Pelodiscus sinensis: one gene and its partners. Each later gene encodes a partner of the first gene's protein in a complex. Links are inferred from orthologs where the notes say so. Each region holds a gene or a part of one and is shown in the gene's direction. Other genes may lie near its edges. The genes, in order: NUP214, NUP85, NUP93 and NUP153.

Evidence for each region.
Region 2: NUP214 (region 1) and NUP85 share a complex: the UniProt entries of both Homo sapiens proteins name them as parts of the nuclear pore complex. The link is inferred for Pelodiscus sinensis from reciprocal best matches to the Homo sapiens genes NUP214 and NUP85.
Region 3: NUP214 (region 1) and NUP93 share a complex: the UniProt entries of both Homo sapiens proteins name them as parts of the nuclear pore complex. The link is inferred for Pelodiscus sinensis from reciprocal best matches to the Homo sapiens genes NUP214 and NUP93.
Region 4: NUP214 (region 1) and NUP153 share a complex: the UniProt entries of both Homo sapiens proteins name them as parts of the nuclear pore complex. The link is inferred for Pelodiscus sinensis from reciprocal best matches to the Homo sapiens genes NUP214 and NUP153.

What each region holds. Positions count from the first base shown.
Region 1 is NC_134732.1:14,188,130-14,196,094, forward strand, and holds the start of NUP214 (nuclear pore complex protein Nup214), read left to right. Parts: upstream 1-4,946; 5' UTR 4,947-5,060; coding exon 5,061-5,102; intron 5,103-7,965. UniProt on the Homo sapiens protein: Part of the nuclear pore complex. Has a critical role in nucleocytoplasmic transport.
Region 2 is NC_134730.1:12,413,167-12,420,339, reverse strand, and holds the start of NUP85 (nuclear pore complex protein Nup85), read left to right. Parts: upstream 1-4,157; 5' UTR 4,158-4,257; coding exon 4,258-4,290; intron 4,291-4,947; coding exon 4,948-5,038; intron 5,039-6,163; coding exon 6,164-6,326; intron 6,327-7,073; coding exon 7,074-7,144; intron 7,145-7,173. UniProt on the Homo sapiens protein: Essential component of the nuclear pore complex (NPC) that seems to be required for NPC assembly and maintenance. As part of the NPC Nup107-160 subcomplex plays a role in RNA export and in tethering NUP96/Nup98 and NUP153 to the nucleus.
Region 3 is NC_134722.1:43,933,515-43,940,731, reverse strand, and holds the start of NUP93 (nuclear pore complex protein Nup93), read left to right. Parts: upstream 1-4,212; 5' UTR 4,213-4,317; intron 4,318-5,051; exon of another isoform or gene 5,052-5,204; intron 5,205-5,450; exon of another isoform or gene 5,451-5,786; intron 5,787-7,217. UniProt on the Homo sapiens protein: Plays a role in the nuclear pore complex (NPC) assembly and/or maintenance. May anchor nucleoporins, but not NUP153 and TPR, to the NPC. During renal development, regulates podocyte migration and proliferation through SMAD4 signaling.
Region 4 is NC_134712.1:108,543,969-108,550,930, reverse strand, and holds the start of NUP153 (nuclear pore complex protein Nup153), read left to right. Parts: upstream 1-3,950; 5' UTR 3,951-4,065; coding exon 4,066-4,185; intron 4,186-4,313; exon of another isoform or gene 4,314-4,539; coding exon of another isoform or gene 4,540-4,638; intron 4,639-6,962. UniProt on the Homo sapiens protein: Component of the nuclear pore complex (NPC), a complex required for the trafficking across the nuclear envelope. Functions as a scaffolding element in the nuclear phase of the NPC essential for normal nucleocytoplasmic transport of proteins and mRNAs.

The sequences.
Region 1 (7,965 bases):
TTTGTTGTTGACTTTCTAATGAGGCCTGGATTTCCCCCCTCTGACTTGCAGTTCTAAGACACTGACATCCACCTTTATTTTGCCTGCCCAAGGTGTAAGATTAAGCCCCAAGTGCATGTCACAAGCAGTCTAAAAATGGGCAAGAATTGCCCTCACGATCACAATCGCAGGCCTCCAACCGGAAGATGATAAAGAACTTCCACCTGTGACTGGTGCAAGACAGACAGCAAAGTCCCCTGGAGGGTCCCTCTTGGATCAATAAGTCCTTGCCACTGTGGTCTCCTTTTTAGAAGCTAGAGAAACTATTCTGTTCTGTCATCTGTGGTAGAAGCTGTCAATTCATTGTCTGCTTATATTTATATAGTTAAAATGAAAACTACATAATATATTGGGTTTGTTTTCCTTGTAATGTGAATAAGTGGTTGGCTTCTGAAGCTTGCAGACTCCCTCTTCTCCAGTGACCAATCTGGTCAATTTCCCTAGACTAAATCCTGTTTTAACGGCCAGTTCCAAAAGCTGTTATCTTGCACCTGAAATTCTGGGGATGGTGGGAGAATGAGCCCAGCTATTTTGCTTTCAATTTTCACAGAAAAGGCCTGGGATATGCTGAATCTGTAGGTGTAGGAAACGGAACTCCAGTCTGAGTCCTTAAGCTGGACCAGAATGAATTCTGGATGAGTCTGTTTGTATTAATGCCCTCAAAATCTCCCAAATTAGGCCTTGTTCAACAAACATATTTCTTATATGCTTGAATTTACTCATATGAGGAGTCATTTGACTTCAGTGGGACTATTCCGTGACAAAATGGAACACATGAAAGGGTTGGGGGGTTTTTTTTGCCTTTTTTTTTTTAATGGGAACCAGGGATCTTGTCTCTCCCTTTTGGGGGTAGGGAAAGACTCCCCAGGATCCCAGGACTGAGACTTAGCTGGACTGTGCTTTGGACACTGCTGTGTACTCTGTATTTACAACTCTTGGAACCCAGTTGTTTGCCTCTGGGATTTAATTGCTTATCATGTTTCTTCCCTCTCCCTCTGGGTTTTTTGTTTGTCCTTGGCAGCTTTTAACTTTGTGGTTTTTAAATCATGGTTTAAATTAAAAAAAAAAACAGATACCCAATTTATTGTTTGAACTCTAACTAGTCTTATTGTGCCTGCCAAAGGCTGCCCTTTTTAAGTGTCTTGCTGTTCTTGTTTGTATGAGAATTTAGAATTGTAATGGAGAGAGAGATTGTGGATGAGAGCAGCACAGCTCTATTTGTACAGACTGAAAATAAATCTTCTGACATTTATGTGAGGCATCAGTGTATTTAATACTGCTACTCAATATCCCTGTCTAAACTCAAGTTGTTCCATGTGATCTAAAACCTTAGGCCTAGTCTATACTACAGCAGGAGGTTGAATTAAGATACGCAACTCCAGCTATGTTAATTATGTAGCTGGAGTTGACATATTTTAAAGTGCGTTTCTGCATCCACACAGGTGGAGCTCCTGTCAGCTTCCCTTACTCCTTGCAGTTGCAAGGAGTACAGGTGCTGGCTGGAGCTGTCCTCAATTTATGGATCTATACTAGACCTGCTAAATTGAACACCAGAAAATCAACCTCTGGAGCATCGATCCACCAGTAAGTATAGATGTGGCCTTAGTTTTCAAATCATTTTAGTTAAAGGGGTGCAAATCCCTGAATAGGCACTTAAATTACATCAGGATAAGATAGCTGTAAACCATTTCAGCCAAAGGCTTCAATGTTTGAATCAAACAGGGCAAAGGAAGGGGTTTTTAAAATCAAGCATTCACTGGTTCCTGGCTGCTCGCTTACTTCAGGGTCACTGTTTGACATGCACATGTGTCTGGCAGAAGCAGCAAGACTCTTCTTCTTCATCTTCACTTTAACAATGGATTGGCCAAACCATCAGTGAGTTTCCAAAAAGAATTATACAAGTGGGACTGCGCTTCATCATTCCAGTGGATGACAGGTAGATTTCCTGTCACTCAAATCAAGTGGTAAACCCCTTTTGCCCCAGCATAGTCAGAAATGTGGATGAGGCCTTGCTAGCAGCCTCCCTAAAGAATGTATACACCTCACTGGGGCCAGTGCAAGGTCAGAATGTATCGTTCACTGTGTGACACATCCTTGCATACTTCAGATAATATAAATTGCATTAAACTAGCCTGTGGGAACTGAGAGATTGTGCTGGGGTGGGGGCAGTGCAGCACACACAGCCTCCCCCCCGCCTGCTCCCCATAAAGTGCAGAGATCCACATGGAACAGCTAGCCACTCTCGATGGTCCGGGGCTGCTGGCAGGCTGGGGAGCCTGCCTGAGAGTGCTGCTGGCCAGGAGCTGGTTAGGTAAGCGCCTCCCACCCAGAGCCTGTCTGTGGTACCCCCCCTTTCTCGCACCCCAACTCCCTCCCAGAGCCTGCACCCCCTCTCACACTATTCCTCCAGGTCAGAATCCTTTCCTGCACTTATACCCCAAGTCACAACCTTCTCCTTCACCCAAACTCCCTCTGAGACCCAGCACTAAAATGATTAGGGGGCTGGAGCATATGATCTATGAGGAGAACCTGAGGGAGTTGGGTCTGTTTAGTCTGCAGAAGAGAAGAGTGAGGGGGGATTTGACAGCAGCCTTCAACTTCCTGAATGGAGGTTCCAAAGAGGATGGAGAGAGGCTGTTCTCAGTAGTGACAGATGGCAGAACAAGGAACAATGGTCTCAAATTACAAGTGGGGGGAGATCTAGGTTGGATATTAGGAAAAACTATTTCACTAGGAGAGTGGTGAAGCACTGGAATGGGTTACCTAGGGAAGTAGTGGAGTCTCCATCCCTAGAGGTGTTTAAGTCTCGGCTTGACAAAGCCCTGGCTCAGTTGATCTAGTTGGGATTGGTCCTGCCTAGAGCAGGGGGCTGGACTTGATGACCTCCTGAGGTCTCTTTCAGCTCTATGGTTCTATGATTCTATGACCCTCTTCTGTACCCCAGTCTCTTACACTGAGTTCCCTTCTGCACCCAACCTCTGTCCAAGACCCCACATCTCCACAGAAAAATGAAGCACTTGACCACTTACCAATATCTTGGATTGCGCCCCCCCCCCGCATAAAAAATAATTGCCTACTCGTGCTCTAGAATATCCATTTGAGTGATATTACAAATACAAGTATTTTTATCTTTTCCAGGGATCTAATGGCAGGTGCTCTCTCTGGGTATGTCTACACTACCCTGCTAGTTCGAATTAGCGGGGTAATGTAGGCATACCGCAATTGCAAATGAAGCCCGGGATTTGAATTTCCTGGGCTTCATTTGCATAAGCGGGGCGCCGCCATTTTTAAATCCCCGCTCATTCGAACCCCGTGCCGCGCGGCTACACGCGGCACGAACTAGGTAGTTCGAACTAGGCTTCCTAGTTTGAACTACCGTTACTCCTCGTGGCACGGGGTTCGAACGAGCGGGCATTTAAAAATGGCAGCGCCCCGCTTATGCAAATGAAGCCCGGGAAATTCAAATCCCGGGCTTCATTTGCAATTGCGGTATGCCTACATTACCCTGCTAGTTCGAACTAGCGGGGTAGTGTAGACATACCCTCATAGACTAGCTGTCTCATGGGATTGCTTGAGTAATGCTGCTGTTTGCCCTTCATTTGTTGGTGTGTGCATGCCTGTCCAGTCTGACATACACAATGGCAGTGGCTATTTAGCTTTGTTTAAAGGGTCTAATAATCCCACTATAGAGTAATAGTAATTGCTAATGCCATCAAAGGGTATTAGTTACATGCTGCAGTGGAGGAAATGAAATTAAGCAGTTCAATTGTAAACATGAAGCCACATTAACTGGCTTCTCTATAACCAGAAACTGATATTTTAAAATGAGATTTATAGTACTTTCATGTTTCACTTGGAGACCATTCATACAAGGAATGTGGAATTCCTTTCTTTGAAATGCAGAAAGTGGATCTAGCCCCACAATGCAGAGCCCTACACTGTCATGGTAATTATGTTAGGATAGACTACTCTGGCAGCAGCATTGACTGCTGTTTATGTATGCTGTGTGCATACTGATCATTGCATATGGTAAACCAAGACTTCAAACTCATGAGTGTCTTAAAAATCATGAAATTCTTAAAACATAAATCTGTGGGGTTTCTGCCCTTCCAATTTCTGAGCCTTTAGGCTACACTTAGGTCAGATACACCTCACTTCCATCCCCAAAACGAGGAGGGTTGGACATTTGCTTGTTATTCTTTAAAAGAACCTGAAAGTCTCATGTAATAATGACTCCAGGAGCTGGGGCTTTAACTGAAACACCAAGTAATGTGAGAGTTGGCAGCACTGGAATAACTAGCTTGCCCCAAGGTTGATGTTGGTGATTTACTGCCGTGTAGCAAATATAACACGACCAATTGGGTAACAGGAACAGTAGCCTTCCAGACTGGCTGGATCCCTGGTAGGATGACTAGAGGGGACTCCTGCTATTAGGAGCATTGTCATCTATAGGCAACTGTATCCTGCCTCTGAAAATACATGGTAAAACAAAACAAAAAAAGTCATGTAGCACTTTAAAGACTAACAAAATAGTTTATTAGGTGATGAGCTTTCGTGGGGTGGACCCACTTCAGATCCTATTCTGAAAGTGAACAGGCATGACCATTTTATAACAGAGGGAAAGAAGGTAAAAAAAAATTACAAACTGACAATTCAGCTACATCCATGTCCTAGTGCTGACTGTGATCCAAGTTTGAATTGCTTATTGATGTTGCTCCTAGAAGCCCCAATGATGGGGCAGCCCCCCCCCCCCCCCCGTCTATTAGGTGCTATACAAACTAGTCACTGCCCTGAAGAGCTACCACGCCCCATCCTCCTTTGGCCACGCCCCCTCGTCAAAGCTCCCGCCCCCTGGCATTAGGCCCCGCCCTACAGTCTTACCGTAGTGTCTTCCTCGGTCCTCCACGAGCCAGCGGCGCTGCCATAGAGCGCTGCGGCTAGAGTAGACTTGATGGCCGCCGGAAGCGGAAACGCTCCTCAGAGCCCTGCGCAGGCGGTTGGCGACGGGCTGAGCCGGAGCTATGGGGGACGATATGGATGTGGTCCCCGAGCGGGAGATGAAGGTATGGGCGGGGGGGTTGAGGGGACACGGGGGGAGTACCCTGCCTTGGGGGCACTAGGCGTTGTATGAGGGAGTTTCGGGGGTCAGCGAGCTGGGTGGGGGGGGCGGTGTCCCGGGGGACGGGGCTGTGGGCCGGGAGCTGGGATAGCGGGATTGAGGGGGGAGGGGCTGTGGGCCGGGGGGGCGGGGCTGGGATAGCGGGATTGAGGGGGAGGGGGCTGTGGGCCGGGAGCTGGGATAGCGGGATTGAGGGGGAAGGGGCCGGGGGGATGGAGCTGGGATAGCGGGATTGGGGGGGAAGGGGCTGTGGGCCGGGGGTCGGGGGAACTGAGCTGGGATAACGGGATTGGGGGGGAAGGGGCTGTGGGCCGGGAGCTGGGATAGCGGGATTGGGGGGGAAGGGGCTGTGGGCCGGGGGGACAGAGCTGGGATAGAAGGTCTGGTCATCCTAGTGAGTGCTCATATCACTACAAAAAATCAGGCTGTTAGGTGTGGAATGTTAGGTGCCACAGTTACTGGGGCCCTACCAAATTCATGGCCATGAAAAACATGTCAGACCTTGAAATCTGGTGTGTTGTGTGTTTTTAGAATGTACTACACAGATTTCACAGGGGAGACCAGCATTTTTCAAAAGGGGGTCTCGACACAAAAGGGAGTCTGAATTGGGGAGTGAGACTGTAATCACAAAAGGAATTTTAAGTTTTCTGCATAGTAAAGATGTTACCATTAAATTCTTATTGCAAGCAGTCAGCGTTTATATGTAACTTAAAGCTTTTGTGATTTATAATCACACTTTTTTTCCCTTATGTTTCTGGTGATGCAAAACTCTATGCAAACAACAAGGGGGTGTGATCACATGCAAACTATTGTCAAATACACAAAGTAAACGTTCGAGAAGGGGGAAGAAGGAGGGGAATCTTTTTGTACTGCAGTGGTCACCAAACAAGTAGATCTTGGAGCCTTTGACAGGTGATCCTGACTGGTTTGGCCAGGAAGCTATCACGCTCTGGCACTTCAATTGCCCCTCCACCCACTATCATGCTGCTCATGCCCTCTGCCTTGTAGCTGCCCCCTGGGAGTCGCCTGCTTGCTGTGCAGGATGTGGGAGGGAGGGGGGGGGGATGCTGATGTCAGGGTGTTCCTTCTCCCACCCACTTCTGTATCCTATCTCTACACAGAGAAGAGATGGAGTGAGCTTGTCAATGCAAATCTCTCACTCTCTCACACTGGTAGAAATGTAGCCGTGTTAGTCTGGTGTAGCTGAAACAAAATACAGGTCTATGTAGCACTTTAAAGACTAACAAGATGGTTTATTAGATGATGAGCTTTCATGGGCCAGACCCACTTCCTCAGATCAAATAATGGAAGAAAATAGTCACAACCATATATACCAAAGGATACAATTTAAAAAAAAAGGATACAATTTAAAAAAAACACTGTGTGTGTCTGTCACTCACAAACACAAACTGTCCTTCACTCTCTCCCCACTCAACACATATGTGGGTTGTTTTTACTTCTTTTACTGCATGCAAAGTATGTTGTTTTTGGTTTTTGACAGGTTTGTGTATTTCATACTTTTCATTTCTTTCTTATGCTTAAATTTAATTATTTGAGTAGTGAGTTCTAAAATGCCTAACCTGTCATGGCTGGAGTAATTATCCCTATGGTAACTGCTGCTCCTGGGAGTGACTGGCATGTCCCTGCAGTGCATGAGAAAGGTAGAGCAGGGGATCTTCACGTTCTGTCCTTGCCTGCAGACACCAATCCTGCAGCTCCCATTGATCAGTACAGACAGTCCCTGGGTTACGTACAAGATAGGGACTGTAGGTTTGTTCTTAAGTTGAATTTGTATGTAAGTCGGAACTGGTACATATCGTAGGGGAAACTCTAGCCAAACATTTCTCCAGAACTCAGTTTTATTCTCCCACACCTCACTTCCCTCAGTCCTTTATTCTCAAGCTGAGGTGTCTGCTGAGAAAAGCCGCTCCGCGTCTCCATGGTCTGCTGGGGGGGCGCTAGCTTCGCGTCTCCCTGGTCTGCTGGGGGGAAGCAGCTAGGGCGGGGTTGCCTCACCCCGTTTGTAAGTAGGGATCCGATGTAAGTCAGATCCATGTAACCCGGGGACTGCCTGTAATGGGGAACTGGGGCCAGTAGAAGCTATGGGCTCAGTGCCTATAGATGAAGGACAGCACATGGAGCCATTGCTGTACATGCCAGCTGCTTTCAGGAGCGGTGTAGGTCCAGGACAGGAGCAGGTAGGAAGTTTTAAGTATATTACTGTAATAGCAGGTAAAATATATTCAGATACATATACCACTTTTAAGTTAACATTGTCCCTTATGCGATCACTGTAATGACTGTACTAGTCATTATGCACAGTCTTTTTTTCTTTTTTTTTTAAGTGGAAAATGTTTTGCTACTTTCTAGGGAAGTCTACATGTTCTCCAAATGCTGTCTATTAATGATAAGTATATTATGGATTATCAGACTTTTGAAAAAAAAATACCTGTCAGGAATTAAAACGGTGACTTCCTAGTTTATTTTTGGAAACAGTGAAAAGAACAGTGTCCATTTTAGGCCACCTGATAGAGAAATACTTTTAAAAAGATGCTTGAAAATAACTTGGTGCTCTGGCTATAAAGTAGATAAAGAAGAAATAAATGTCTTAGTCTTTCTTCAGTTAGACGTCCCAGAGAGAGATTTCAAAAAGCACCTGTTTCAGATTGTGGTGATAGTGTTTCATGAGATTAATAACAGTCTTTCCTATTCTTCATTATTTACTTCACCAATATTAAAGTGCTAAGTGAGGTCCATGGCCCACCTATTAATAGATAATTTATGAAAATATCCTTATCTCTCTCCTA
Region 2 (7,173 bases), on another chromosome or scaffold:
GCCTGTTCTTCCTGAACAGTTTAGCATGACTGGAGCACTGTCATGGAAGGGTATAGTCATCCCACCTTATCTCTGTGATTCCAATCAAATCATAGTTCTTTGAGTGGGTCAGGGCTTCTAATTCTTCTTGTTTGTTTTCCAGGTTTCTCGCATTGGTGTACAAAAACCTTAGATAACCAGCTGATCGCCTTGCTTTCTCCATCTAAAAGAGGGGTCCTCCTTTGTTGCTCGTTCCTCCTTGTGATTCTTCCCAGTGTCCGACTTCCTCACTTACCTCAGGGCTTTGGTCACCGTCTCCCAATGAACCTAGTTTAAAGCCCTCCTCACTAGATTTGCAAGCCTACCCATGAAGATGCTCTTTCCTCTCTTGGTTAGGTGGATCCCATCTCTTCCTAACAATCCTTGTGCCCAGAACAGAGTCCCATGGTCTAAGAAACCAAAGCCCTCTGACACCACCTGTGCAACCACACATTTACTTCCTCAATTTGATGATCCCTACCCAGACCTTTTCCTTCAACTGGGAGGATGGAGGCGAACACAACTTGCACTTCAAATTCCTTTATCCTTCTTCCCAGCACTACATAATCTGCTGTGACCCGCTCAAAGTCATTCTTGGCCATATTGTTAGTTCCTACATGGAGAAGCAGGAATGGGTAGCGATCCGAATGTTTAATCACTTTCGGAAGTCTCTTGGTCACATCCTGAATGCAAGCTCCCAGTAAGCAGCACACTTCTCGAGATTGCAGGTCTGGACGACAGATGGATGACTCAGTCCTCCTTAGGAGGGAGTCCCCAACCACCACCACCTGTTTTCTTTTGGGGGTGGTAGTCGTGGAACCCCCATCCCTCGGACGAGGCATCCCATGCCTTCTGGTAGATGGTGTTCTCTTCTAATTTCTTCCCTGAGAGATCCCTGCCAAAGCATTCTCCACCGCAGTGCTGTGAAGAAAGCCTGAAAGCAGTTACTTACCTCTACAGGAATGGGGGATACCTGAGTTGGCTTTCTCCTTCTAGAGATGACATGGTGCCAGTTTTCTTCCTTGTCCTGTACTGCCCTGACTGGCTCTTCAGCCTGCTGTGCCTGCAGGATTAAATGCTGCCTTCTATCAAGGAAGTCTTCATCCTTTCTGATAGAATGTAGGGTTGATACCTAGGCTTCAAGTCCTCTAATTTTTTCTTCTAAAATGGTGACCAGCTTGCACTTAGAGCAGATGAAATCCATTCTTTCTTCCGGGAGGAAGACTAACATGGCACATGCTGTGCAGGTAACAACAGCAGACCTATCACCATCCATACCTGCCTTCCTTCTGAGAGTATCCTCAGATGTTATTAAATGCCTCCTTGAAGGGCAGGAGAGAGAAAAGAAAAAAAAATTCAAGGAAAAGAGCACTAAACACTATGGGGGTCTCCTAGGGTGAATTCCCAGGCCAACTCCCAGGTTGGCTGCTGCTCTCTGCGTTTGCTCTGGCTGCCTTTTTAAGAAGGCTGAGGCTAGGCCTGTCTCAAAGCCTTGCCTCTGATGCAATCAACCCCTGAAGGCCCACCAGAGCTTAGGAAGTTTTGATAATAGTTTAGTGAAAAGATTTTTTAAGAACGGTAAGATTTTTTTTTTCCAAACTCCCTCTCAACTCCCTGTTATCAGCCCCTGTTATGATCATAAATGGGGAGGCCTGTCCATAGTACAGGGTAGCAAGGGATGGAGGACTACACTCTACCTTAGAATCATAGAACCATAGAGCTGAAAGAGACCTCAGAAGGTCAAGTCCAGCCCCCCACTCTAGGCAGGACCAATCCCAACTAAATCAACCCAGCCAGGGCTTTGTCAAGCCGAGTCTTAAACACCTCTAGGGATGCAGACTCCACTCCTTCCCTAGTTAACCCATTCCAGTACTTCACTATCCTCCTAGTGAAATAGTTTTTCCTAATATCCAACTTGGACCTCTCCCACCACAACTTGAGACCATTGCTCCTTGTTCTGCCATCTGTCACTACTGAGAACAGCCTCCATTCTCTTTGGAACCTCCCTTCAGGAAGTTGAAGGCTGCTATCAAATTCCCCCTCACTCTTCTCTTCTGCAGACTAAACAGACCCAACTCCCTCAGCCTCTCCTCAAAAGTAATGTGCTCCAGCCCCCTAATCATTTTGGTTGCCCTCCGCTGGACCCTCTCCAATGCGTCCACATCCTTTTTGTAGTGGGGGGCCCAGAACTGGACACAGTACTCCAGATGTGGCCTCACCAAAGTCGAATAAAGGGGAATAATGACATCTCTGGATCTGCTGGCAATACTCCTCTCAATGCAACCTAATATGCCATTAGCCTTCTTGGCTACAAGGGCACACTGTTGACTCATATCCAGCTTCTCATCCACTGTAACCCCCAGGTCCTCTTCTGCAGAACTACTAAACTGGTTGGTCCCCAGCTTGTAACTATGCTTGGGATTCTTCTGTCCCAAGTGCAGGACTCTCCACTTCTCCTTGTTGAACCTCATCAGATTTCTTGTAGCCCAATCCTCCAATTTGTCTAAGTCACTCTGGACCCTATCTCTGCCCTCAAGCATATCTACCTCTCCCCCTAGCTTAGGATCATCCGCAAACTTGCTGAGGCTGCAATCCATCCCCTCACCCAGGTCATTAATAAAGATATTGAACAAAACCGGTCCTAAAACCAAAGCTTGGGGCACTCCACTAGAAACCGAACACCATCCGGACATCGAGCCGTTGATCACTACCCGCTGGGCCCGGACTTCTAGCCATCTTTCTATCCATCTTACCATCCATTTAGCCAATCTACATTCCCTTAACTTGCTGTCAAGAATATTGTAGGAGTCCATATCAAAAGCCTTGCTAAAGTCAAGGTACATCACATCCACTGACTTTCCCACATCCACAGAGCCAGTTACCTCTTCATAGAAGCTAATCAGATTGGTCAGACACGACTTGCCCTTTGTGAATCCATGCTGACTATTCCTAACCACTTTCCTCTCTTCCAAGTGCTTCAAATGGATTCCTTAAGGATCCTTTCCGTGATTTTTCCAGGAACCGAGGTAAGACTGACTGGCCTATAGTTCTCTGGATCGTCCTTCTTCCCTTTTTTGAAGATGGGCCCTACAATTGCCTTTTTCCAATCATCCATGATTTCTCCCAACCTCCATGACTTTTCAAAGATAATGGCCAAAGGCTCCTCAATGACATTTGCCAACTACCTCAGTACCCTCAGATGCATTAACTCCGGACCCATGGATTTGAGTACATTTAGCTTTTCTAAATAGTTCCTAACCTGTTTTTTACCCACCACGGGCTGTCCATCTTCATCCCATCTTGCATCACTTAGCGCATTAGTCTGGGAGCCCACCTTGTCTGCGAATACAGAGGCAAAGAAAGCATTGAGTACTTCAGCTTTCCCTTCATCATCTGTCACTTAACACTCAGAGACTCAAATACCTATATCTGTGTGCAGAATTTACCACCTACAGCATGAATCCAGGTATGGAGCAGGTTAAGCAGTTGCTCCATTACACCAATGTATGCCATCATCCCCACCTATGCAGCTGGAAGGAAGAGAGGCCAGCAGTGGGAGAGCCCTCCAGCTCTGCTAGCACAACTCTCCCACCCCCTTATTTCTGGATCCCTACACACCAGCATGATGTTGCCACAGGCTGTTTGGACTGAGCATGACACCGCCTGAGCCCACCCGCGAGAGCCATTGCACCGCCCTCCCCCGGGACTAGAGCAACGCCCCAGGGGCTGCCGCTCCAGCCTGATGGGCAACGTGAGGGCGCCCCACAGCCAGCGACACCGCCACCCCGCGAGCAGCTGAGCCGAGCCGCCAGCGTTAGGGAGGGACGAGCAAAGAACCCAACCCAATGAAGCCCAACCCACCCCCACCCCTCCGAATGCATTGACTCGGGCCGCCTCTCCCGCTTATATAGCTTCGCGGGGTCCTTCCAGCGCTCGTTGCGCCATCGGGCTGTCTATTGAGCGCCTGCCCCCCATTTCAACATAAAAGCCCCAAAAGGGAGAACTTACCCTCACCCTTTCCAACACACGCAATTCCCCCCCTTCCTAAGGAGCTAGTCGAGAAGCGCAGCTGCAGCAATGTGGCCCAGGTGGCGTAGATTTGTGCAGGCACCGCAGTAGTCAGCTCCGAACTAGGGGCCTCTCTCTCTGCCTGGCGCCCTGAGTGCAGGCGGCCTGTGGTGGCGGCAGAGCTGCTTCGCTTCCGCTGTCCGGCCCCGGCCTGGAGAGCGCGCTGGTGGCATGGAGGAGCTGGATGTGGAGCCGGCGGTCACTGTACGGCAGAGCGAGTCCCTACCTCTGGGGAGGCTGGACCCTCCTCCCCCTGCCAGAAGCTCTGGGGCGGGGGAGGGAACAGGCGAGGGGGGGCCTGCGGGGAGAGGGGCGCGGCTGTGCGGGGCAGGGAGCTGTTGTGCCTCACTTCGGCCCCTCCCCCGTACCTGTGCATTACTGATTATCTCCCTTTGTTAGCACAGATGAGTCCCCCGCGCAAAAAAAAAAAAATGCAATGATCATTAGCGCAGTACCTAGTGCTCTACAAGAGAGGGTAGGATCATTATCCCCGTTTTACAGATGGGCAAACTGAGGGCATCTCTCTTGTATCTGGGAGCAAGCATCCCAGCTTGGTTAGATAGACTTGTGCTAATGGGGCCTTGCCCTAGTGTGCTAAAAATGACTTTGTAGATATTGCTTTTACATTATGGCTCTCAAACCCACCCCATCCTCTCCTGGGGTTAAGAATGCGGGCTGCAACACTAAACAGCTAATTTGAGTTTGCTACTGTGGGCCCCACTACCACAAGCTTGTGGACTGAAATTGGGAGGCTGCAAGGGAGACATACTCTGAAAGAGGAAAAGGAATCCCGCTTGCTTGCTCTGTTGTCATAGAGAGCAGCCACATGCTTGATAGTCCCTCTGCCTTCTTTCCTAACAGCTGATTCCTGGAGTGGACTCCAATCGGAAGCAGATGTGTTTTGACTGGGGACCTGGAGAGATGCTGGTGTGTGAAACTTTGTTCCCAAAAGGTGGATAGCTTCTCTTTCATTTTTGAATGCTTGTCTTGGGTGGATTTTACTAAATATTAATGCAGAGCAAACTGGAGTATTGACAACCTCTAGGCTACGTCTACACTGGCCCCTTTTCCGGAAGGGGCATGTTAATTTCACCTATCGTAGTAGGGAAATCCGCGGGGGATTTAAATATCCCCCGCGGCATTTAAATAAAAATGTCCGCCGCTTTTTTCCGGCTTTTAAAAAAGCCGGAAAAGAGCGTCTACACTGGCCCCGATCCTCCGGAAAAAGCACCCTTTTCCGGAGGCTCTTATTCCTAGTAGGAATAAGAGCCTCTGGAAAAGGGCGCTTTTTCCGGAGGATCGGGGCCAGTGTAGACGCTCTTTTCCGGCTTTTTTAAAAGCCGGAAAAAAGCGGCGGACATTTTTATTTAAATGCCGCGGGGGATATTTAAATCCCCCGCGGATTTCCCTACTACGATAGGTGAAATTAACATGCCCCTTCCGGAAAAGGGGCCAGTGTAGACGTAGCCCTAGTGTTCAGAAACTGTAAATTAGATCCCAAAATAAATTAGCTTAAAATGAGATATTTGAAAATAAGCGTGGGGTTCTTTTTATTGCCTTTTAAAGAATTTGGTGTACGTTCAGATCATGTTTTTCAAGTTTTATTTTGCAACGAGAGCTAGAAACTTCTTGGCCGGTCATTTGATTCTAGGAGTTGAGGCTTCAAGAACACCACCAAATGATGTGAGAGTTAGCAACACTGTTAAACAGCTAAGAGCTGGGTGAAGAATTCAGTCACATTTGTGCACATTAGACTCATACATTCAGTCACAGTAAGCATACATGATCAGACTTAGGAATTATATTGAGCAGATTTGAATTTTCATTATCACATGCAAATTATTAAGGAATTTTGTGGAATTGAATATTACAGAGGGTCTGATATTTTATTAATAGTTTTGTGCCTCTTGTCCTATTTTTGTGCTGACTCCTAGACTTTTTACCAAATAAATTTCCAGTTAATATGTTAAGAACCATTACTGTAAGTACAGAAGTATATTACTATCCAATAGGACTGAGATTCTGCAGAGCCATAGCATTCATTTGGCTATTTTATGGTTTACATGCTTCATTTCAGGACGTGAAGAGAAAGGGCTAGGCTGCCCCAATATTTTCATTGTTCGCAAAGATCAAGATGTGTACTCACAGACATTACGCAAACTCTTCAATGAATCCCATGGGATTTTTGTTGGACTACAGAAGAGTGAGGAAGAATTGGCTGGGAAGTCAAAGAAGGCACAGTGAGTAAACAGAAATGCTAGATACTGTTGAAACAAAAAGAGAACATGTCTGCTTCCCTGTTCCCCATGGAGATCAGTAGTGAGGCATAATTTAGATGTGCCACTTAATAGTGGAGGGCGAAGGCAGGTTGGGAATAGTTCCGTCAGATCTGTTTCTCAAATAGTGTTGCATCTGTGCATCTTGTTAGGTTGGTAAGTTTGTGAGTTACCAAAGGTACAATTCATACAGTATATACCTTTGTTCATTGACTGAATTTAATAAAGAATATCTTGATTGTTCCTTTTATTTGTGCCCACTCTCCTTTACTGTTGATCTCTACTGCCTCATCTGTAGATACGAGGTAGGAGAGCAAATCCCCTATGCCTTTTACAGATTGTCTTGTTAGAATGTGAGGTAAGGTGATACAATAATTATTCTGTGCAGAAAATGACCAGTATATTGTTCCCCTTCCTCTACCAAACATATAAATCTTTCTCCAATGAGTGGAATAATGAAACTGAAATTCTCTTAGCTGGTGAGTCTCAGTAATATTGTGTAACTAATTTTTCCTGTTACCATTTTACAAAATTTGGCCCCAATCCTGCAAATAGACCTCTATGCCTGTGTAGAGCCCCACTGACTTCAGTACAGTGCAGGAGAGATCTGCCTCTTCAGAGAAACTTGTAGGATTGGGGCCCTACTATCCTGTAGGCACAAGACTAACAATAAATAAATCTCTCTAAACAAGATTTTTGTATTCTTCACAGATTGGTTCTAGTGAGTAAAAACTACCGTTCAGTCATAAGAGCTTGTATGGAGGAGATGCACCAGTTGGCTAGTAAGTTATTGTTCTCCATTTAAGAAAAG
Region 3 (7,217 bases), on another chromosome or scaffold:
GTTTACCTCAGACCATTTCTCCAGTTTGTCCAGATCATTTTGAATTATAGTCGTGCCATCCAAAGCACTTGCAACTCCTCCCAACTTGGTATCATCTGCAAACTTAATAAGTGTCCTCTCTATACCAATATCTTACTTGATAAAGATATTGCACTGGTTCCAAAACTGATCCTTGTGAAATCCCACTCGGTATACCCTTCCAGCATGACTGTGAACCATTGATAACTACTCACTGGGAATGGCTATCCAACCAGTTACGCACCCACCTTATAGTAGCCACATCTAGATTGTATTTCCCTAGTTTATTAATGAGAAGGTCATTCAAGACTGTATTAAATGCTTCACTAAAGTCTAGTTATACCACATCTACCACTTCCCCCTTATCCACAAAGCTTGTTATCCTATCAAAGAAAGCTATCAGGTTGGTTTAACATGATTTGTTCTTTTTGCAAATCCATGCTTCCTGTTACTTACTACCTTTTTATCTTCTAGATGTTTGCAAATGGATTCCTTAATTATTTGCTTCATTTTCTTTTCTAGTACAGTAGTTAAGCTGATTGGTCTGGAGTTCCCTGGGTTGCCTTATTTCCCTTTTTATAGATGGACACTATATTTGTCCTTTTCCAGTCTTCTGAAATCTTCCATGACTTTTCAAAGATGACAGTTAATCGCTCAGATATCTCCTCAACCAGCTCCTTGAGTATTCCATTATGCATTTCATCAGGCCTTGCAGGATCAGATCCAGGGATTTCAATAACTGAATAGTCCCTATGCTGGGATGCAAGGAGGGAGCCTTTTTGAACCCACACTGTCACCTTACAAATCTGTGCCAATTTAGTCCATACTAATGGCTTGGAGTCTTGGTTGCATCTTGCAGGAAATGGGAGCTATTAACCAAACCCCAACCTGGAATTCTTTCTTCCTAATCAAATTGGATGGAAGAACAATCTTATGCCCAAGCCAAGGGCAGGGAATCTCTGTGTATTCCTTGTGTTTCCTGTAATTTTGCAAATCACTATTGTGCACTATAGAAACTTTAAAGGACTGCAGAAAAAAGAAAACATATTAAGAAAAAAATCCTCCCTCTACTATCTTTATGGTAGACAGTTGGTATTTTGAAGTAGGATGCTGGATCCAGTGTCCTTGAAGGCCAGTGTCTGATGCTGGTATTATGAATGTCAGACACCAGACGATCACGCAGCTCCATGTCACCAGTGAGGCAGACAGCATGAAACAAATCCAGATGGCAAGGTAAAAAACTATGAGGCAGGAGGGAAGGACAGCTGTTCTCTGGCTGCCTTTTAAATAATGTTGCTGATCTTTCAACAAAAGCACTTAAAAGCCTTCAAACAGGCAGCATCTTTAGCTATTTAACCCTCCGGCAGCAGCCAAAACTAGTAAAATGAGACTGGGAGAATCTGCTCATGAAGAGGATTTGTTAGCGTTGGCAAGTAGTGCATATCTGGAGAGAGAAAGGGGGAAGCAATCACTTTCTTATACTCCCTTGGCTATGTCTAGATTGCATCCCTTTTTCGTAAAAGGGATGCAAATTAGACGTATCGCAATTGCTAATGAAGCAGGGATTTAAATCTCCCCCGCTTCATTAGCATCAAAATGGCTGCCGCTTTTTTTCAGCACGGAGCTTTGCCGGAAAAAAGCGCCAGTCTAGATGCAGATCTTTCGGAAAATAAAGCCTTTTCCGAAAGATCCCTTATTTTAAGAGGGATAAGGGATCTTTCGGAAAAGGCTTTATTTTCCGAAAGATCCACGTCTAGACTGGCGCTTTTTTCCAGCAAAGCTCCGTGCCGAAAAAAAAGCAGCAGCCATTTTTATGCTAATGAAGCGGGGGAGATTTAAATCCCCGCTTCATTAGCAATTGCGATACGTCTAATTTGCATCCCTTTTACGAAAAAGGGATGCAATCTAGACGTAGCCCCTTGTGTGGCAATTTGATGTATTTGTGATTCCACATGGCACAAGAGGGGCATCATTAATTTTCACATTGTTAAATGAAACAATTATTATGCCTGGATGCCATAAACTTATGTATTCTAAAGGAAGATGTTTACAGAAGAAATTCAGGATGGGGTTATGTTGGAAAAAGTCCTTCCCTGAAATCAGCCAGGCTGTAGGGTCAGAAATAGATTTCTAACCTTAGGGGTTTTCTAAGGGAATTTCCACAGCCCACCAAGTGGGTAGCACCAGCTAGGAAGTGGGCATGGATGGGGCAGACGACTAAATCAGTGATTCTCTTCAGTAGCCTTAGCTAGTACAGCTTCCTTAGGGTATGTCTGCACTAGGAGATTATTTCAAAATAACTAAATTCAAAATAATAACTTCTGAAATAAAACCAAAGTGTCCCCACTACAGGGGAGTCTTGAAATTAGTATAAGGCAGGCTCCATTGTTGTGGACATGATACCTCAACTTTGAGCCCCAGGAAGCACTGGGGAATATTACTTTGAATGACTTTAGGGAGCAGTTATTTTGAAATAGCAGCAGTGGAGTGTCCACAGTAACGCTATTTTGAAATAACCATTATTCTTCGAGGAAAGCAATACAGATTTTGAAATAACCAGGCCATTGTTTTGAAATAATAGGCTTGGTAGTATGGATGTTTCGCTTATTATTTCAAAATAAAGAGGGTTATTTTAAAATAACTTCTTACTGTAGATCAGGGCTTAAGAGTCCTAACTGTAAAACAAAGTTGCTCAATTCCCTAGTAGTAATCTTGAGCTGTAGGGTGGTGATTGTACCACAGTTGCCCATCCTTTGAATGCCTGTGGTTAATTTACATCGCTCTGCAGCAGCCCTCTGGAATGTGGCCATACATACAGCTGAAAAGTGTATAAATGGGACATTTTTGTTAATTCTTACCCCCATACCAAACTGAACTAGAAACTAGGAACCAAATCCTTCTGCCAGTCGTGTGATCCAGCAACTCCCCAGACCAGAGAATCCCTTCTGTTGGCATAGGTAAATGCTATAGCAGCACACAGCACAGGGCATGGTGGGCATAAATCAGGAGTAACTCCATTGCTGTCACTGCAGCACACGGCTATAAGGCAGAGGGACCCATGCTCCTTGTCTGCCTAGTGCGTGGGTGAGCAATAATTTTTGGAGGGGGGGCCACTTCGAGATTTTGGAAAGCGGTGAAGGGCCACACTTTTCTGTGGAGGGCATACAAGGTCCAGGATGGAGGTTGGGCACAGAGGGTAAGGGACTGAGGTGCAGGAGACAGTGTGAGGTCTGAGAGGAAGTTTGGGCAAAAGAGGGAGTTGTGACCTGGGTTTGGGGATAGGGTCAGCGAGGGGTATGGGTGCAGGAGAGGGTTCTGGCCTGAGAGAGGGGCACTAGAGCTATGTCTACACTGGCGGGTTCTTGCGCAAGAATGGCCATTCTTCTGTAGAGCATCCATACTGCTCGCCTGCTCTTGCACAAGAAGGTTTACAGTAAAGTGTGGTAAGAGAGGACTTCTTGCACAAGAAGCTCTCTTGTGCAAGAGGGCAGCGTGGAGGCGCAGCAGGGGTTTCTTGCACGAGAAAGCCCTATGGCTAAAATTGCCATCAGAGCTTTCTTGTACAAGAGAGCGTCCACACTGCCATGGGTGCTCTTGCGCAAAAGCACATGGCAGTGTGGATGTGTTCTTGCACCTGCCAGTGTAGACAGTGTAGCCGAGGTGGGGGTGCAAAGTCTGGGAGGGAGCTGTGACCTGGGAGAAGGGGAAAAGGGGATGCAGGCTATACCGGGTGTGGGTAGTGACTTGGGGCAGGGGAATGGGGTGCAGGGTCTGGGAGGGTGTTGGGGTGCAGGAGAGGATTCTGGCCTGGGGGTGGGTATAGGGGGGTACAGGGTCTGGGAGAGAATTGTGTCCTGAGGCAGGGGGGTGCAGAGGGTTAGGATGGTGACCTGGGGAGTTGGAGTATGTATAGGAGGCACAGGGGTGCCAGAGGCTGGGCTCCCTGCCTGCTGCAGCCCCAAATGACTGACAACGGCAAGCTGCAAACACCACGTGGCGCTCAGCTCTGGGAGGGGAAAGAGATTTGCGGGGCTCCCATCCTCCAATCTCTCAGATCTTATTGGCTGGTTGTTTCCAGCCAATAGGAGCTCAGAGATTGCCGGGGTCAGTTCCTATTGGCCGGTTGTTTCTGGCCAATCGGAACTAAGGCTTGGGCTGGGGGCGGGGAGATGGCAGGACGCTTCCCCCTCCCTGCAGAGCGGAGAGAAGCGGGGACTGAGCTCTGTGCTACGTGCCTGGGGGGGTCCCGGCAGGGGGGCCCGCGGGCCGGATCCAGTGGCCCTGGCCTAGTGACCGCAGGCAAGGCCATCAGCCCCCTGCTCAGGCAGCGATCGCGCCTCCTACCCGCCTTGCTTAGTTAATTTCGCCACGTGCGGGCTCTTCCCATCCCAGGCTCGTTCTGGTGCAGGGCAGGCGGAGCGCACAGCGGGCTTGAGAGCGGTGCGTTCAGCTGTTTCTGCAGTGCCAGGCCCCAGGCAACCTCAGGCAGCTGGGCCCCCTGCCCAGCCCCAGCACGGATGCGATGGAGCGGGGCCTAGGCCAGGGCACCAGCTGCCTCAATTGCCGAGGTGCGGATGGATCCGCTCCTACTAGGTTCCCGCTGGGCTCTGGCCAATGGCCCCTACACACCCCGCACCACTAGGGATTTCCCCACCTCGCCCGGCCCCCAGGGACCCCACTCTGGGCCCGACGCCCGCTGCCCACCAGGGACCCCACTCTGGGCCCGGCGCCCGCTGCCCCCCAGGGACCCCACTCTGGGCCCGGCGCCCGCTGCCCCCCAGGGACCCCACTCTGGGCCCGGCGCCCGCTGCCCCCCAGGGACCCCACGCTGGGCCCGGCGCCCGCTGCCCCCCAGGGACCCCACGCTGGGCCCGGCTCCCGACGCCCCCGGGGACCCCACGCTGGGCCCGGCGCCCCGGGGACCCCACGCTGGGCCCGGCGCCCGCTGCCCCCCAGGGACCCCACGCTGGGCCCGGCTCCCGGCGCCCCCGGGGACCCCACGCTGGGCCCGACGCTCCAGGGACCCCACGCTGGGCCCGGCGCCCCCGGGTCCGAATCCCTCGCTAAGCGTTTCAACCAAGCTGAGCTGACGTCAGTGGCGCGGGGGCCGCTGGGGGAGCGGCGCTTCCTCCAATCAGCGCGCCCGGCGCGGAGACAGCGGCTCCCGCAGCGGAAGGAGGCGGCAGGTAGGCGCGAGCTCAGGCCGGCGGGCGGGGGCGCCTCGTGCTCGCGGCTACCCCCACCCCGCCCCCGGCGGTGCCGGCCTGGCGAGGGGCCCTGGGCCCACGGGGGCGCCCGGGGACTGTGCCAGGGGCGCTCCTCGGTCCGGTGGCCTTGGGCTCGTTCCTTAGCCCCTCGGCCGCGCCTCAGGGGATGGGGGCGGCCCGCGGGGCGATGCCAGGCTCCTCTGGCGTGTCCGCCCCTTCCCCGCCGGAACCGGCTCCGCCTGCCCCGCCGCCCGCGCGGGATGTGTCCTGCCCGGTGACCGGGCTGCGGCGTAGCCGGGCGTGTCTCCAGTGTCTCCGTCCGGCGCCTTGCCCGAGGGAGCTAAGCACCCCTCCACACGGGCGCCTGGTTCCCCAGAGAGTCCCGCCCACAGTGCTTGGCACCTGTTTGGGCCCGGAGTACCCAGGGGTTTCTTCATGCGGCCTGGATTGGGCTGGTTTATTGTAGCCTCTGCTTAATGCTGCAGCGCAGCACTACATAGGCACGTAGGACAGGGATCTGGAGGAAAAGTCTGGGATCTAATTGAAACGCCATTTGGGAATGTAAGTAGGTGGAATGGGAGGCCTTGCGGAGTACTCTGTCTGCTGGTAGACTAGTGATAGAGATGGAGCCGGGTTAGTCTGGTGTAGCTGAAACAAAAAACAGGACTATGTAGCACTTTAAAGACTAACAAGATGGTTAGTCTAACGTGATGAGCTTTCTAGGGCCAGACCCAAGTGGGTCTAATAAACCATCTTGTTAGTCTTTAAAGCGCTATGTAGTCCTGTTTTCTGTCTGCTGGCTGCTTGTGTAACCCACACACCTACTGGGTGTGCTGCACTTAGATGCTTAGAGAGAAAGATTGAGTGTGCTCTACTGCCTCAGCTGAAAGCCAGTTGGTCTAAGCTCCAGGGGTCCCCGGTTCAGTTCTGCTGGTGAACCCTACACTTTGTGGCTGATTCTTGCTCATATCTGTGGGGTCATACTAATGGCCGTATGTGGGGGAGAGGGAAAGAATTGTTCCTCAACTCAAATTGGCAATTAACTTGGTAGGGTTTTGCTCCTGCAGCATGAGTGCATGGTGGGGTCACTTGTCACATTTATCTGGGTATATCTCACAATCATTTTCCTGCATTTGTGTCCTTGCTATTCACTGCCTAAGGCACTTAACAGTCTAGTCACCTGTGGGCTGCAATACTTTGGCATAGTTTTGGTTGTTGAATTTAGTGTTCAGATGGGTGGTGGTGATCTGTGATGGATAGGCGGTCCACCTAGATTGCGGTCCTCAATCTTTTTCTTTCAGAGCCTTTCCTTCCCCCAATATGCTATACAAACTCCATGGCTCACTTGGGCTACAACAATTGGTTTTCAGGTATAAAACCCAGGGCTGGCATTATGGCAGGGATGGGCAATAATTTTTGGCCAGGGGCCACTTCAGAAACTTTTGAAGTAGCCCTAGGCCACCCAGGAAAGGATGGGGCCTCAGGTAGAAGGAGTGGGGCTAGGACACTTCTGTGCTTTCCCACCCATAGACCCTGCTTGGTCTGGGGATGGGGGATTGTGCAAAGTTCCCCTCCCCCCGGAGAGAATGGCAGTTCCCTCTAGGTACCTGTGCCTGTGGCAGTGAGAGTAGACTTTGCATGCTTCCCCCTGCTGCCCCCAGGTCAGTCAGGGCCTGGGGAGTGGGAGCATGTGAAGTCTCTTGTTCCCTGCTCGCACCCTGCAAGGGAGCAGCAGCTGGCAGTTGACTTTAAGTACTGAGCCCCTTGCATGGCAGGAGGAAACTTCACGTGCTCCCCTTGCCTCTAATCCCTGATTGGCCTGGGGGAGGGGGGAACTGCGTGAAGTCTCCTCCCACTTTGCCCCTGTCCTAAATGCTCCACGCTCCTTGCAGAAGTGCCGCACCCCTTGCAGGGTGAGAGGAGACTGCCCACTTCTCCCCCTCCTGCAGGCCCTGATTGGCTTGTGGGTTGGGGGAGTAGCAGGCCACCGCT
Region 4 (6,962 bases), on another chromosome or scaffold:
TTAGTTTACTGAGTGTCTGCAGGCATAGAGCCCTGCAGCAATCAGTTGATGTGATTCAATGTTCCTGGCCAATGGGAGGTGTGGGAAGTGGTGGCCTGGCTTGCAGGTGTAGTAAGGACATGCTAAATCGACCACTGATCATGCTCCTGTTGACTCCAATACTCCACTGGGTCATGAGAAGTAAGGGAAGTTGAGAGAGTTTTTCCTGTTGACTCTCCTCAGTGGGGATGCTGTGGTAAGTCAAATTAAAGTACGTTGACTCCAGCAATGCTGTTCACAGAGATGGAATTGCATACTTTAGTTTGACTTTGCCCACTAGTGTAGACCTGGCCTTAGGCTCTACAGGTTTTGCCCTGGGGCAGTGGCTACTGCTGCTCTTCCTTTTCAATTTGGTGAGTTACTAACTGGCTGGAAAACTGGCTGGAAAACTGTCCTGCACTACTTGTGTTGGAAAGAGGAGCTGGGGTTGCTGTGGGGGAGTTCCCAGATGGCAGGAGGATGAGACTAGGGCTATTTTGGATTGGGACTTCTGAAGAATGTGCCTCTTTCCCCTCCCTCCATCTTGCCCCCCATGTTTAGCACTTAGCATCAGGGCAGGGAAGTGCCACTTCAAGGGCCTATGTATCTATTGTCCAGGAGCCCCTTGAAGCTACTTAGGGTCTCCTGCCCTGGAGCTGAGTGCACTGTGGGAAAGGAGAACATTGGGACTAGGTAGTGGACAGAACCAGGTGGAGGGAGAAGAAAGGCAGTGAATAGTTTCTTTGAAGGTGTGGCTTCTGCCCATGGCACCATGAGCTTCATGAAAGTACTGTCCATTGGGCCATTTGCCCCTTTCTCCCATTGTTTTGCAGAAGGCTCCTGTGATATGAAGGAGTGGCCCTAATCACCCTTTGTTTTCTTCTGATCCTTCCAGTAAGAGCAGTGCTAGGCATGCTAAGCACTGTATAAACACATTTGTCAGACAATCTTTGCCCCCCAAAATTATTTAATTTTATGATTATTAACTTATACTAGCAGTCGCTAAGGTCTTGGGTCAGCAAAAGTGCTATAACATAGTGGGCTACGTCTAGACTGGCATGATTTTCTGCAAATGCTTTTAACGGAAAAGTTTTCCATTAAAAGCATTTGCGGAAAAGAGCGTCTAGATTGGCATGGACCCTTTTCCGCAAAAGCACTTTTTGCGGAAAAGCGTTCATGCCACTCTAGATGCGTTTTTGCGCAAAAAAGCCCCAATCGCTATTTTCACGATGGGGGTTTTTTGTGCAAAACAAATTTGAGCTGTCTACATTGGCCCTTTTGCGCAAAAGGACTTTTGCCCGAACAGGAGCAGCATAGTATTTCCGCAAGAAGCACTGATTTCTTACATGAGATGGTCAGTGTTCTTGCGGAAATTCAAGTGGCCAGTGTAGACAGCTGGCAAGCCAATGTTGTTTCTCCAACAATCTATGCAGCTATCCCTCAAAAATACTGAGTCTTCATAGTGGATGCAAGATTTTGTCTCCTGCAGATTGCTGCTCCCTACTGTTGAGTTTTCATTCCTGGGTTGAAACAGTCCCAGTTCTCTTGTAGGTTTGTAAGCAACTATGCAAAGAATTTAACTAGTAGCTTCTGTCACTTTCCCTTTAGGTTCTTGGATTTGGCTTTACCCTGTAGCCTGCATGCTGAGACTGGCCTGATCATGGTCAAACTGTAATTTACTCATACAAAAAAGCAAAATGCTTTTGCAACCTCCCTCCCCAAGATGGAGGAAGGAAAAACAGGATCTCTGGATCTAGATGTGGAGCACATACACCTGTCAGTGTGTCCCACCATCCTAGCTGGGGAAAGCACAGATGATCAGTTTCTCCTTGGAGACTAGTGTAGAAATGTTAGTAAGTTTTTCTCCTTGTTCAGAAGTCTGTTTGTGCAAATAGTAAATGAGCCCCTATAAGTGTTTGTGTGTGAGTGGATTTTGGAAGTGTAAAGACTTGGGGGTAGGGTGGAGCTGGGTGGATGGGGGTTGAAGACAGAGATTGTGAATAATTTAGAAAGAAGAAAGGGCAATTGGGAAAGAGGAACTGATGCAGGGTAGGAGAAGGGAGAGGACACTGCTCTGCAAAAGGGATGGGGAGGTGCATAAGTCTCTGAATGTTGATATCCAAGTTAGAAAATGTTGATGTAGAGAGTTTTTATTTCAACTTGATTTTATACCTGTGCACAACATACTTAAGCTGTGATGAGAACTCCTGTAGGGTTTCCACTCTTTCTGTGGAACCTGCTAACAGACAAGGAACAACTCTTTTCCACTGTCCCACACAGCTCTCTCTTGCTTGGCTTCTTGTCCCATTATCTTCACATCATTCCCAGCTTGTTCTAGCCTAACCTTTATTATAGGCAATGCCAGTAAATTATTTTAGTAACATTCTTTCTGTCTGGATTTTTCCATGTCTTCCACACCTGATTTAATTTTTTTTCCTATTGCTCTCTTGATTTTCTTTCAGCAGTTTGGAAGGGCTGCTTTTTATTGACTCCTGCCGTGTGTCCATTGTTTCTCTGATGTCTGAAGGCTGTGACCATGAAGGACTTTGCCCATTTTGTTTTAATAGGGCATCTCATGGTCTTTCAGCCTCATCTAAACAGTGTTCTGAGCCAAAGCTGAGGATAGCCTAGTTGGAATTCTGGCTCTCTTGTACCTCCTGAGATGAGCCTTAGGGATAATTTGGGGCTTAGTTTTGGGATCCAACTACATTATTCACCACTTCAATTATCTTTGTCAATGTTGTAGAGAATCCCTCCCAAAGTTAATTCAGTTTTAGGGCTCCTACCAAGACTGTGGAATCTATTAGGTCCTCCCAAAAATGTTTTCCCATATGAACTGTTTGTTAAAGTTTTTTAATTTTCAAATGCTTTCAGATTTTCCCAAGGAAATGTGGGCATTTTCAGTTTGGGGCTGTGGAATATCTCTATAGTTCAAGTGATACAAATTTCTTTGTTCCTTCCCAGAAACTCTGCAGAAGATGTTTCCCGGGGTCTTCAGTTTATCATAATATGAAGTGAATTGGGATATATTTTGTACTTTCATTGACTGCTATTTTATAGGCTGTCAAAAGAATATATGCTTGGTTATGGCCAATTTGATACTTTTCTAAAAAGATAGTTTGCTTAATCCTTTTTGGCCTATTCCACCTTCTCCCATAAGATGTGAGTCTTATGAATCCCAGAATTTCATAAAACTGTTGTAATACTTTTGATTCTAAATTTCCCCCTTCATCTGTTTGCTGATTACCTGGAACTACAAATCTGGTGAAGAATTTGGTCACTAAAACCTCCATAGCTAGCCCAGCCTTTTTGTTTGTTACTTATTTAGATTCAGGCTACTGTGTAAAGTATAGCAATCCATCTCCCATATTGGAGAGAGAAACAAATGAAATTAATGACTGTCAGAAATGATTGATTCTTTCACAAGTCAATGAAGGCAATTTGTAGGGCAATATCTTCTCTATAAAGCTAGCTGGAATGATATTTTTATATTTTACACCCTATTTCACATATTTGTAAGTATAATGGACCAGAGCAATCGTGGATATAAATCAGAATCACTTCATTGGCTTGTTTTAAGCACCTCTTTGACACTTTTTGGTTTGTTTTTATTACAATTTATATAACTTGCGTGACTACATTTTTACTACACCTTACAGGTCTGGCTTCACCTAGAAATAGTGCTGACTCTTGTGTGTCACTTGTAAAGGACTTATTTCCGTTAGTACATCATGTGCCTTTCCGTGGTCCTTGCTCTGCCCGGCACCACCCATAACTCCGCCCCTCCCTTTGCACTGTGGCGGGTTTTATAACACCAACCAGAATCTAGCCCCCAAATAATTGGTTTATGAGCCAAGGCTGTTAGGGTCTAGTAGCAGACGTGACTCCTTTCCCACGTGTTCGGAAGCCTACCACAGAGAGGTCGGGCGCTCAATAAATCATGACCAAGCCTTGAAAATCGCAAGATCTAAAGGACGATACGGGGGGGCTGTCCTGCTTATTTGCCTTCAGGATTTTCTCTGCAACCTGTGAGGGGGTTTTTGCTCAATGCCCGCTGCGATCAGCTTCAGGAAAACCACGCAGAGCCTGAGCCGGGCTCGGTCTCCAACTACCTCCTCCTCCCTGCCCCGCGCCAGCCTCTGCGCTCCCCGAAACTACACTTCCCATGTGCGTTCGAGGCAGGGAACGCTCCTGGGGAAAGTCGCGTCAGGATGACGCATCCCGAAGTGCGCGAGTTAGTGACGCGACGCGCCCGGGCGGGCGCTGTGTGGTTGGTCGGACGGGGAGGGGGGAGGGGTGCACGGACTCGGCCGCGGCGCGGGCGGGACGGAGCCGGCAGCAGCGAGCGCGTGAGGCCCCGGAGCCCGCGAGACAGGCCTCGCGGCGCGCGGCGGGGGCATCGCCATAGAGACAGTGACAGCACAGAGAGGAAGAGGGCGCGGGCGGCGCGGCCGGGCCGCGGGGGGAAAGAGGAGCGAGCGGGGGCCGGGCCCGCTCTGCGCCGGGGGGCCGGATCCCAGCATGGCCTCGGGCGGGGGCGGCGGCGGCGGCGGCGGGGGGAAGATCCGGACCCGGCGGTACCACCTGGGCGCCTCGAAGCCCTACCCGAGAAACAAGCAGGTGAGAGGATGGGCCGGGCCGCGCCGCTCTGCCAGGCCCAGGCGGGGGCTTTGACTCACAGCGGCCCGCGGGGTCTGGGAGCCGCCGGGCGGGGTGAAGCATCCCCGGGCTCTGCAGGCCCCACGTGGTGTGGGGCTGGGAGTGGGCAGCGGTGGGGCGAGTGGAGGATCGGGCCGGCGCGGGGCGCTGCGTGGCGGGAGGGCGCTGGGGGCGTGTGAGGAGCCGCGGCTCGGGGTGGAGGGACGAGTGAGGCTGGGGGGGGGGGGGTTCCTGCGAGGCGGGATGTGCGTGTGTGTGGGAGGGGGCTTTTCCCCGGGGCTGGGGGTGTGTGTCCATGTGCGGGGGTTTCCTCTCGGGCAGCGGGGAGGAGTTTGAGGGATTTCCCTTGGGAGCGCGCGCGGGGTGTGTGCGTGTGTGGATGTTTTAGGGATTTCCTGCCTTTTTTTTTGGTGAAGCTGGGAGGGGTCACGGGAGGGAAGAGGAAACGTGTTTAGCAGTTGGTGCCATGTGTGAATTCACCCCGTCTCAATTTGCCTCAGACAGTTTTGTCGGTGTGGGTGGGGGGGAAATAAAAGCACTGGAAGGAAAAATCTGGAGTTCGTTTCCTGTCACACAGACGAGCGGGTGTAGGCTGCAGACTTTCCCAAGATGTAAACTTTTTGATGCCCACCCTGTTATACTTCTTAGCCTTTGGGGTGATATAGCTACGCTCTTTTTCTATACTACCCAATTTACTACAACTTACTGGTTGCTTTCTGGCTCAGATTGCCAAAAGGTATTTATACATCAGCAGGAATAATTTGGGTTTACTGTGGGATAAACTTTATACACAATCAGGGCAAACTACTAGATGACATTAGCTTAAATAGGTATTTAGTTATAATGCAGTGAATTTTGATATTTGAATGTCTTCAAAATCAAACTAGCCAATTCTTTCATCTACAAATTTCAAAATATCTTACAAGCCACTTTGTAGGGGCAGTATGTGGTTATTTGTCCTTCTTACAAGCCACTTTGTAGGGGTAGTGTGTGGTTATTTGTCCTTGTGATCATTTCAGTAGGCTACAAGTTCATAAGCTTCAACCCCTCACTATAAATTTTTCTAGTACTGCCATTCCATATATCTCTGTTGTTAGCACATTGTGGGTGGTAATAATATTAAAAACTATTTTAATTGGTTTTCCAAGTCTTGCTGAAATGGTGGCTAAAGAACACAACTTGTTTATATATTACAGCACTTTGTATTAGTGGGAATTTTTCGGCAAACAAAAATCCAGAAACTAGGTGGGATTGGTTGAGGACAGGCAAAATAGGTCTTTCATTATTATTGTGTTTGCTCCTAGGTGTTTTAAGGTACTTGTATATTTATCTATTGTACAGATCTTATCTGTGTAGGTATATATGTATTTATACATGAATGCAAAAACTAGGTTAATACATTATTTAACAAGTAATCTGAAAAGCTAGGAAGTTCAGTTATGTTCTGTTTTCATATACAGTGAAGAGCTATATTACATAAATTTCATAAGCTGCTATTTCTTAAAATAATAGAAAGGAATTATTATTTTAAAAAAATTAAGTATACATGTACAATTGCATAACACTGTTATGCACCTGTCCCTGAAGCTCTAGGACAGGGGTTCTCAATCTTTTCGTTTCTGAGGCCTCCCCCCAAATATGCTGTATAAACTCTACAGCCTACCTATGTCACAACAATTGTGTGGGTTCTATTTCATATAAAAGCTAGGGCTGTTATTTGGGGGGTAGCAACCAGGGCAGTTGCCCAGAGCCTCATGTGATGGGGCCTGCGAAGCTAAGCTGTTCAAGTTTCATGTTAATGTTTGGGTGGTGGGGCTTGGGTGGTTGGGTTTTAGCTTTTTGTCCCTGGACCCAGTGAGTTTAATGATTGCCCTGCTTGGCGGAGCCCTTCAAACCTGCTTCTGTCCCTTCAAGGAGCTTTGGACCTCTGGTTGAGGACTACTGCTTTAGTAATTTAATGACATCTAAACAGGAAAATGAATTTCTTCATGTCTAAGTATAGTATTGAATAGGGATGTTCAATGGTTAAGTGATAAGAATGAGGCTTAATGGTATGCTTATTAGTTAACCAGCCTTTGCCAATTAATTTCAGCGATAGCCGCGTCAGACTGGAACATCCTTGGCCCTGGAGGGGGCTAGTAGGCAAGGTGGTGGGATTCCACCGTCATAGTGGGACCTCACAGTGGGGTCAGGAGTTGGGACTGAGGATAAAACCATTAACTGGTTAAGTGTTATCTTGTAATCTGTTAACTGTTTTAACTTCCTTAGTATTGAAGCATTTATGT